Linked DNA regions of Xenopus tropicalis. The protein of the gene in region 3 purifies or fractionates together with the protein of the main gene of each other region. This does not show direct contact. Links are inferred from orthologs where the notes say so. Each region holds a gene or a part of one and is shown on either strand. Other genes may lie near its edges. The genes, in order: btf3, rela and ctnnb1.

Evidence for each region.
Region 1: the proteins of ctnnb1 (region 3) and btf3 purify together in Homo sapiens (affinity purification with mass spectrometry; 3 studies listed by BioGRID). This does not show direct contact. The link is inferred for Xenopus tropicalis from reciprocal best matches to the Homo sapiens genes CTNNB1 and BTF3.
Region 2: the proteins of ctnnb1 (region 3) and rela purify together in Homo sapiens (co-immunoprecipitation; 3 studies listed by BioGRID and IntAct, with this or other methods). This does not show direct contact. The link is inferred for Xenopus tropicalis from reciprocal best matches to the Homo sapiens genes CTNNB1 and RELA.

The regions. Positions count from the first base shown.
Region 1 is NC_030677.2:183,322,896-183,326,376, forward strand, and holds the end of btf3 (transcription factor BTF3), read left to right. Parts: intron 1-193; coding exon 194-307; intron 308-820; coding exon 821-1,022; intron 1,023-2,222; coding exon 2,223-2,279; intron 2,280-2,570; coding exon 2,571-2,617; 3' UTR 2,618-2,874; downstream 2,875-3,481. UniProt on the Homo sapiens protein: When associated with NACA, prevents inappropriate targeting of non-secretory polypeptides to the endoplasmic reticulum (ER).
Region 2 is NC_030680.2:38,471,438-38,475,091, reverse strand, and holds part of rela (transcription factor p65), read right to left. Parts: intron 2,549-3,654; coding exon 2,394-2,548; intron 1-2,393. UniProt on the Homo sapiens protein: NF-kappa-B is a pleiotropic transcription factor present in almost all cell types and is the endpoint of a series of signal transduction events that are initiated by a vast array of stimuli related to many biological processes such as inflammation, immunity, differentiation, cell growth, tumorigenesis and apoptosis.
Region 3 is NC_030682.2:53,356,825-53,360,578, reverse strand, and holds the start of ctnnb1 (catenin beta-1), read right to left. Parts: upstream 2,785-3,754; 5' UTR 2,725-2,784; intron 1-2,724. UniProt on the Homo sapiens protein: Key downstream component of the canonical Wnt signaling pathway.

The DNA.
Region 1 (3,481 bases), on a different chromosome or scaffold from region 3:
ATATGTTTATAGTGTTTAATATTCTTAACTGCATTATAATGTCATGATCGTAAATGCTGAGATAACCTGGGCCTGTCACTCGCATCTTTCTTTATGCTGGTGATATACTTGGTGTATACTATCTGTACACTGTCTTCAGTTAGTTATTCAACATTTCCCTAAATTTTCTTCTTTTGATTTTTGCTTTTGTTAGGGGACAGCCCGCAGAAAGAAGAAGGTTGTGCACAGAACAGCAACTGCCGATGATAAGAAACTGCAGTTCTCTCTGAAAAAACTTGGAGTGAATAACATCTCTGGCATAGAGGAGGTAATGTCTGCGTTGCTGCCATTGGATTCTGTGTGCACACTAGCAGTGAAGTATTCGGTTTCTGGGTGTTTAGCACAGATACATGCAACGTCTAGGTTAAATGACAACTTAATAATAACAAATTAGGTTAAAAAAGAGAATCTAATAGTTATATCCCACTGATAGGTCCCGAATCAACATATGAATAAGCAACAGAAGTTTCAGTGGAATAAAAACTTTTATTGGCTCAAAGTAAACAATTCACTGGGATGCACCTATCCATTGTCTGGTATAGTATATCTTATATGTTTGCTTTTTGTTGAATTGTTTAATTTGAGCCAATAAATGTTGTTTTTATTCCACTGAAACTTCTGTTGCTTAGTCTAGGTTAAATGCCTAGCAACTAGATCCTGGATCTTCTATAGCATGATATTTTAACGTAATGGGATCACAAGCTGACGGTAGAAGGTGACTGTGTTTTCTTAAGAAAACTATCTTTTAGGAAGTCTGTTCAAATTAGTTTTTTGTTTACAGGTGAATATGTTTACAAACCAAGGAACAGTTATTCACTTTAACAACCCCAAAGTCCAGGCTTCCTTGGCTGCCAACACATTTACCATTACTGGGCATGCTGAGACCAAGCAGCTTACGGAGATGCTGCCCAGCATTTTAAATCAGCTTGGAGCAGACAGCCTTACCAGCTTGCGGAGACTTGCAGAGGCCTTGCCTAAACAATGTAAGTAACCTCCCTCTGAAATGTATTAGCCAGTTTGGCTAAGTAGAGGAACAATGTTAGGATACCTTCTGTTTGCTTTGCTTTCTCTGCAGTAAATTTTGGTTCTAGGACTGCAAGATACTGTGTGGTTATGGGAGTCAATATAGGTATAAATGTAAAAATGTACAGTCCTTAATTGATGGGTTCTACATGTAGCAAATGATTTAATGACAGATTAAGCGCTGCCTCTCAGTTTAGCTTTTCTTGCTTACCAATGTACTAACACCATGGCATGGATATGCACTTTTGTCCAGATTTTGCCCCTGCCAGTTCATTCTTTTCTTTTAGACAACATCATGGTGTTAATTTTCTTTTTCTGAAATTTGAACAAGCTGAGCAATCTCTCTAACATTCACCAACAATCGGCCCTATCCCGCGATGTTTGCTGTTTCTTAGTAAACCCTGGAGCCTGACATATCTGGCATCTCATTCTGCCCAACATCTTTACTCTGTCAGTTGTCTGTGTATTTTCTTGATAAAATAAGTTAATATGGCACAATCATGGAATGCTGCAACTTCTCTGGCTTGCTACATAGCAGGTTACATAACATCTCAGACCCCCATTTTCAGTATGGGCATAATGTGCAAGTTATGAAAGCAGAAAAAAGTGTTTATAAGATAACTGTTCTTGCCTATTTAAATTTGTCACTACAAAGGCTATCAGTTTTAGGGCAAAGCAGAACAAGATATTTGCCCCAACAAACTATATTTATTTGCTTACATGCTACAATACCTAGCATTGCCCCTGATAGCTGAAAGCTTGTGGGGTTGGACCTCATGTATGTTTATTTGTAAAACAAGAATAAGGGGATACATATGCTCATAAGAGAGAGTTTACATCAAATCTCACCCGTAGTATAGTTGGGCCCAGGTGCTCATGCCCCAGACTTTCAGCTAGAGGGAGCCATCATGGATACATCACAAACATCAATAGGCAGGCACTCCGGGAAGTGCCTGCCTATTGATGTTTGTGATGTATCTATGTTTATTTGTAGTTAGGCCCCCCTATAATTACACATTTCTTACCAGCCCTCACTTGCTAATGGTGTGGCCAGCTAAGCCATATGGAGAGTAGTTATTCACATCATGTGGAGACTGGGTGCCCTTTCAGTTGTAGACTGACTATAATTAGTACACTTATTTTTTAATTTGTTTTTTCAGCTGTGGATGGGAAAGCACCACTAGCTTCTGGGGAGGAAGAAGATGATGAAGTACCAGGTAAGACATAGGCATATCCAATGTTTTATTGTATTTGCTAACCTTGGTTACACTATAGTCTATTTGAGATTTATTTTTAAACTGGATATTTGTAGATATTTACTATGCCTAGTAATGCAAATATTTACCTATGGGGATGGTTGAGTGGTTAGTACTGCTGTGGGGCTGTTTGGATTTAGTTATGAATTCTATGTGCCTGCTGCTGGAGTCACAAATCGGTGTGAGATTTGTTGTAATCACGGCTGTTTGCTAATCTTTTTTTTTTTTTTTTTTCCCCCATCCTTTTTGCAGAACTGGTTGAGAACTTTGATGAGGCTTCAAAGAATGAATCGGTCTGAATGAAAAATATCTAAAAGGAACAAAACTTGAAAAGCTGACGGAGCTCCTATTTTATATTGTGACTGCATTGCCTTTGTGTGTGGTTTTTTGTTGTTTTCTTTTGACCTTTGAGATTAAAAGCCCCACAGATTTGAAATTCTTTCTATAGCAGCTCTGCAGTAACTGCATTCATCAGATAATTTGCCTTTGCAGCCACATAAAGTGAACAGTCCTGGAAATTAAAATGTAAATGAATAAAGAATAAACTTAATAGGAATTGCGTTTTGTATACATTAGCTTTGTTGAAAAAAAAGTTACTTGGTTGGAAACCTATATGTAGAATCTAAGGCTCTGGCACTGTCAGTACTAGCACCATAGATGTTATGATCTATTGCATGTAAGGGGTTAAGCACATCTGACTTTAGTGCCATGCAGAAACATAAGGTTGGGATTATAACTAAGAAAATATTTGCATGACTACTGCAGAAAAAGTTATAGGGTTAGACAATAAGTGTCGCACCACACTGAAGTGGTGTAACAAAAGGGGTCAACAAGTGAGAAGAGCATAGAGTGTAAATCAAAGATGTTGGAATAAGGGCAAATACAAACTAGAAAGGGAAATTTGAAAACAAACTTCATGTTGGTTTGAAAAACTTGAAGTCACTGAATGAAATCTGATCTGTTGTTGGCTTCACCCACTTTTTCTAACCTTGGACCAAAGTTATATAGTAAAAACCACTGCAAAGTTTGGGGACCCTGGATTTAATAGTGTCTGGCAGCAATTTAAAGTCAATGAGTGACATCTAATTGGCAATTTTTCTAACTTGGAACTGCAGTTACCCAGTGACTAACTGCAAAGTTTAGGGACCATCAGATTAATAGTT
Region 2 (3,654 bases), on a different chromosome or scaffold from region 3:
CAAACCGGTTCGGCAGCTTATCTGCACCCCGATGCCTACCCGATGGATATCTGGCCTCAAATTGGGCAGATCTCGATCAGGCAGGCTTGATTTTCTGTCAGATCAGGGAGCACATCGGCTCGTTGATGCGGTCTCCGATCAGAAGGCGTCTATGTCTGCTATTGCAATTCGATTGTTGGCCCTAGGGATGGCATATCAGGAAAAGATCTGCTCGCTTGGCGACCTCGCCAAATAAGTAGTGTAAGGCTACTTTAACAATGCACAATAAATACAGTGGAACATATTACCTTTAAATGGCTTAAAGCGGTTATTGTTGCAAAAGTTCACTCTACAAAATAAGAAAGGGGTAGTTCACCTTTTAAATTAACTTTTAGTTTGCTGTAGACATTGATACGCTGAGACAATCTGCATTTGTTCTTAATTTTTTTCCCAGCAGGTCTCCAGTTTGGCATTTAAGCAGCTATCTGGTTGCTAGAATCCCCAGCAACCAGGCAGTAGTTTGAATGAAAGACTGGAATACGAAAAAGGAAAGGGTCTTAATAGGAAGACAAATAATAAAACAATAAAATTATAGTCTCAGAGGGCAATAGCTTTTGGCTTTCGGGTCAGTGGCCCCCATTTGAAAGCTGGAAAGAGGGAGAGGAATGCAAATCATTAAACTATGAAAAATAATGGAGACCAACTGAAAAGTTTCTAGGAATAAACATCCTATAACATACTAAAAGTTAATGTAAATTTACAGTGTTGGACTGGGATGCCAGGGACCCACTAGAAAACCTTAGACCATAGGCCTACTCTCCAAACAATTTTTTTCCACTTCTTACTCAATCTCTATATTTTCCTAGTTTTTTTTTATCTTTATATACTATAATCTATTCTTCTATATATTTAGTTGCTTTGTTCCCATAGAAAAATAAGCAATGGACCTGAATTAGGCCAAATCGCTAGAAGCAGCCATTTGCCCAGTGGGCCAACCGGGAATTTTCCTGTTATCCCTGTGGGCCAGTCCAACACTTTAAATGTGAACCACCTGTTTAATGTGGTGATATGTTTTTTTTTTTCTCCAAAGATCAAGTGATACGGAGAGTCACCAAATTCTGTCATGCAGTAATGCCAATCCCAGCACCCATTGCCCCGAGGATGGAGCTCTAGAAGTAAATCAAACCACGCTCACCAGCACACCCTGGCCTTTCCACTCTGTTCCACCTGGTGCACAGTATTTAGAGAGACTTCGGCACTCTCCACCACGATCCAAATAGCACAAAAATACCGGCACAACAGGACTTGTTTAAGTGGGATAAACCCTGCTGATTTTTAATAGTAGCAAACCATGTACATGGTTTGCTACTATTAAAAATAAGCAGGGTTTATCCTGCTTAAAGGAACAGTAACACCAAAAAATTCAAGTGTTTTAAAGTAATTGAAATATAATGTACTGTTGCCCTGCACTGGTAAAACTGGGGTGTTTGCTTCAGGAACACTACTATAGTTTATATAAATAAGCTGCTGTGTAGCCATGGGGGCAGCCATTCAAGCTGGAAAAAAGGAGAAAAGGCAGAGGTTCCATAGCAGATAACAGATAAGACACCATTGTATTCTACAGGGTTTATCTGTTAGCTGCTATATAACCAGTGCCTTTTCTTCTTTTGAATGGCTGCCCCCTTGGCTACACACCAGGGTTTATATAAGCTCTAGTAATGTTTCTAAAGTAAACACAAAACTTTTACCAGCGCAGGGCAGCAGTACATTATAGTTTAATTTCTTTGAAATATATACATTTTTTGGTGTTACTGTTCCTTTAAACAAGTCCTGTTGTGCCGGTATTTTTGTGCTATTTGGCTCTAGAAGCAAAGCAATCCTGGTTACAGCAGCCCAAATAACAACTCTGGCATTACACTTTACCTTGTACTTGATGATAACTAAACTGCAGTAATCCATTTTGCTGATAGAACTATTCTATTTTCTTTTTTTAGTTTCTAATTTTTTATAAGATTTATTTACAAGATAATAGATAACTTAAATACCTCCCAGCATTCAGAAAAATAATGTAACTTCATAAGGATTTTGGCTGGCATATTTTAACAGAATCTGCATAACCATAAAGTCATGTAAAAGACCCACAGTTTTTCAACAGAAATGGATTTAAGCACAAGACTGCTGGGTCCCTTCCCAAAACCTGCAGCCTCATACTTTAAGCTGCAGGCCCTAGTTCAACAACCCCCACCCCACTAACTTTCTTATCTTCAAGGTTCTTTCAAGGCAGACTACCTCCTGCAGAATGCTGCACACCCACACTGAATGTGTTCATTCATGCCATTTTGTGGATGATTTGCTATTTAGTAGAACACAATGAACTTACTAAGAAGATCAAGTAGAAAACTATATGCACTGACCTTAATAGTGGGATGAGTTTTTGTTGTGTCAGTGCTTCGTTCACCTGGAATGCTTCCAGCAGAGCGGCCTTCACACTTGTAACGAAATCGCATCCCTCGCTGTTTTGGCTGTTCTATAATTTCCACATGTGGGTGGGAGGAAGGCATGACTGTGCCTGTGCAATGGGAGTAAAACCAGAAAGAATATATACTGACAAGCTGGAAGCAAACAAACTAATATATGTTAAAGTGGACACAGTCTACTATCTAAAGCAACTGCTGGGATCCCTAATCCACAAAACCCCAGTCTCAAGCATTCTGGATAATAGATCCTATAACCCAGGGATCCCCAACCTTTTATATCTGTGAGCCACATTCAAATGGAAAAAGTGTTTCCATTTGTGGGAGCAACACAAGCATGGAAAAAGTTCCTGTGGATGCAAATAAGAGCTATAATAGGCTATTTGGTAGCCCCTATGTGGACTGGGAGCCTACAGAAGGCTCTGTTTGGCTTTACACTGGGTTTTATGCACCCAAAACTTGCCCCCCAAGCCAGAAATTCAAAAATGGCAAACTACTTTGCAGCCACTGGGAGCAACAGCCAAGGGGTTGGGGAGCAACATGTTGCTCACGAACCACTGGTTGGGGATCACTGCTATAACCTGTACTTTCATTGTCAGCAGTAACTAAAAGGCAACTCTCCCCGAGTTGCCTTCCCCTGCCATCCCACCGGCGAACATGTAAGTCGCCGGCGGGATGGCAGACGGGGTGGCGCGATTTCGCGCAAACCGCCGAAAAAGACTCGCGAGTCTTTTCCGCCGATTTCCCGAAATCGCCCCACCGGCGACTTACATTGTTGCCGATGGCATGGCAGAGGAAGGCAACTCAGGGAGATTAGTCGCCCGCGAACAGGGAGTTTTGCCGCAGGCGACTAATCTTCCCGTGTGCCTGAGCCCTAAGTTGTTCAGTGTCAATAACACACAAAGCTTTCCTATCATTTGTATCTGATAAAAATGCAGCAAGTAAAATGTCCTATACACGTATAGGACCTGTTATCCAGAATACTCGGGACCCAGATAAGGGATCTTTCTGTAATGGATCTACTGTCTACTAAAAAATAATTTAAACATCATTTAAACTCAATAGGATTGTTTGGCCTCCAATAAGTATTAATTATATCTTAGTTGGAATCAAATACAAGTTAAATTTTTTGTATTACAGGGAAAAGGGAAATTATGTTAAAAAATTAGAATTATTTTCTTATAATGCAGTCTATGGGAGA
Region 3 (3,754 bases):
TACTTAAACCCCATGGGAAAGTCCATCTATCGCTTCAATAATGTTAAGTTTACATGGAACAAAGTTACCTACTTAAACAGTAAAGTAATATGCCATTGACGCAGTAAGGCAAACCTACAAACCAAAGACCCCTGCTCCTCCCAAACACACATGGATTGAATTTGCATGCTAACACTTCAAAGGCTAGTTTTTTGCAGGAGTTTGACTAAAAGGACAACATTTAAAGCAGCTAGTACACGCCACAGTGCTTCATTTAAATTTGATGTTTAGTGGTAGCTGCACTTTTACTTCCTGGCAAGGAAACTAATGCAGCTTTTATAGAAGTACTTTGCTGCTCACACAGAAAGTATAGTTAGTTGTACTGGTCATTTCCCAGGACACTGCAAAGGCAAGCACTGTTCCATAAGGCCTATTAACACCAGATAGTGCTGCTCGCACAGTTAACAATGAAGTGTCTGTCTTTGCCAGTTAGCAGCTACAAACCACTATTATGCTTTATATAGAGCCAACATGTTCTATGGCAATCTAGAGAGCTTATACAGTAACATTCCCTGCCCCAATGAAGCATGATCTATGGTTCCTACCATACACCCACTCTGGGGAGGAGCCAATTAACCTTCCTGTCTTGGGAGCATAGAAGAAACTTAAGAAAAAAATGCTACACATTAAGAACATACTAATTCCATGAGATACTGTCTGGGGAAGTAGACTTACGACCCGAAATGCACACAGGTCACCGACTAGGACCTTTGATTCTTGCAGCAGTGAACAGAAAGACCCCCCCATGTCCAATTGGCCATTTCCCAATGGGCAACAGCATGTTTTCAAGATAGTTGCAAGATCAAGGAAACATACTTCCCATGTCAAAGGCAGGTGAGGGAGCAAAGTGCACACTGCCCACCTACTGAACTGTTTAAGGAAACAAATCCTCTACCATTCTGAACATGCAGTTGCATTAGTGCCAAAACGGGCTAGTTACAAATATTTGCCCTACCACATCGGCTACAATACTTGCACTAAACATTTGTACTGTTAACTGGAGAGGAAGCCACAAATGCCCCAATGCATGAATTGCCAGCAGGCCCTTCCTTCCTACTGCAGCTGGTGGAACAAAACCACCACTTGTGCGCAGACTGCTGCAACTGAGAAACAATCAAAACACTGCCATAGCTTAACATGAGAAGGTGGCTTTTATCGGAAGCCATAGCTGTATTAAAGTTGATATTTAGTCTAGTTAGTTGTCAAATAAGAGCCGTGCCCCAGCACAAAACAGCTAGAAATGTGTTAAGTGCCTGGAATTTCTGCACCACATTTTCTCTTAAGATCACATTCCTGACTAGTCTAATCTATTCACTACCCTGCATACTTTCAGGACAGGAGAGGGTGGAGATGGAGTTGGGGGAAAGAAAAATCCATGTCCTGGAGACTAGCCTTGATATGTAACAAAACCTCAACTAAAGCCATGTTAGCCAATACTATAGCACATGAGCAGATTTCATCCCAGTAAAAAGCACCTAATGCCACCTCCCACTAACCTGAATTTCTCCAAGCTCCACCACAAACACTTTTCAGCTTGAGGGTGTTTGTTTGCATATTTGCACACTGAAAGGCACAAGTGAGCTACTCTCACATTACCTACTCCATGGGAAGCGGCAATTGTTTGTACTTCAGTAACATTTGCTTAATTTATAATATAGATCATTTAACTTAGCATTAAATCACAAGTTTTGGCACCCACAAGTTAAAATCTAAACCCAAATACGTACAAGGTTTCTTACAGGAAGCCAAACCTTGTACACATTAGCTGGAACGATAGGATAGTAGGGCCCATGACTATAGCTTACTGCTGCAACAAAACACTGGAAACACTAATTCTAAGCGGAAGGGCGATGAATATCCTGGCTTGACTGAGCCTCACCCTAGGCCAAGACAGGGAGTGAATAGAAAAAAAAAAGTTGCAAGAGTGGCTCATATTTCACAGCTCCATCACTGAAACACTAAGTACACAGGGGAGAGTTTCAGGGAGGGGGAATATATACACATTCCCAAAGCTGCCCTAAAACAACGTATGGATTTATACATGTCCCGCATCGTGAATCTGATACACTGGATAGAATTCTCCATTCCTGCACATTAGTTCTCACATCTCAAAAGCAGTAGAACCTGCAAGCACTCAGCACATCACTCCATGCCAAAACACACATTATAAAAGTTCTAGAATCAAAGGAAAGAGGGCCAGCCCGCTGACGCACAAAGACGGCTTTTAAACAAGGTGCCAACAAGCAGATGGAAAGGGTAGTTTAGATACGTATCTATTGGGATTCCTTAAATAGGACTGTATGGTACCCCCCTACACACCAACAATACTATGCAGTACAGTTATGGGACAAGTACAAAGGCACACACACACAACCAACTTCCGGCCCTGTTTCTGATCCTTAACTCCAAACAATGCTCTACCCAACGAGGCCAGGCGGCCGCAAGTTCCACACCGCAGACATGTACAGTACCTGCCCACAATCCTTAAAAGATAAAAAAAACGCACTAACCACACTGCCAAGTCAAGTCAAACAGATCCGACCACGTTAACCTCCATCATGTGGCTCCCCAGCTGTTGCATAACCACAAATGCCACCACTCCCCAAGCAGCTTCCTAGGTACGGTAACAATCGATAGCGACACCGAAGCTACAAAAAAAATAAAAAGACATTTGCAGTATCTTACCGTTGGCTCGACGTCCACCGGTTCCGGCCGTCACCGCGTTTCGCCCGGTACTGGCCGTCTCCTACACACCTCCAGACCCTGCAGGTTCCGAATTGTGTCCCACTTTAAGATGGACGGGGTATGGCGGCAAGAGCGTTGATTTTCTTTTCCCCGTTTATGTTTCTGATCCCCTTCAGTTCCCAGCCATGAACAAACGCACTACTCTCCCGTTCGCTTGAAACGCGACACACAGGCTTAAAATGGCGCCGCACACCCTTGTTTTATATGGGTCGCATTACATACGCGTGTGAATATCCTTCCGCGGGCTTCGGCGGCAGGAAAAGGTCTCATAAACGGGGCGTGGGCGGAGTGATTCAGAAGGAAATATAAAAAATAGTTCTTCCCCAAAGCAAATGCCCTCCCTAGGTTGTTGTATACAGAGCTGCGGAAAATACTAAAAGGGCAATTGTAATACTATCATATGCTCCGCATGAAATATGCAGATACGTTCGAGTAGAGCTGGTGCATAAATGTTTCTTGTAAACCTAAAGATGCAATTCGCCACCCAACTGTTAATGGTTTGTGTATGTACGGAAGCGTAAGTTAGTTAATGGCGATATAGTGGCAATTGTCACAGGCATGGGTGTTACTGAATTAAGCATTAAAAAGTTTTTGTGTCAGGTTTTGGAAGCGACGAACAGTTTGGGCGGAGATGAGATTCATTCCTGCTCATTGTGCGGATTGGAGGACTTAAACGCGGAATGATCCTCAGTAGGAAATGCGGCCGGAGCTGTTTTTTTTCCTCCTAGGCTTGGAATGTGGAGCCCGATGAGGGCAGAGTTGGAGACAAAGAAAGGAGGGGGAAGTATTAACTCTTTCGTTGGAATTGTAACACGAGTCCTGCACGATTGAAGTGCTGCAACAGAGCTCAATATTAAACCAAAGCTTAGAGGAGAGGGTACATTTGCCCTGCCCCCTCCAAAGTCACAGGGCACGTCTGGGCAGATAAGAGATAAAAGCAGAATGGACAAAGTGTATTGTGTAAACGTTT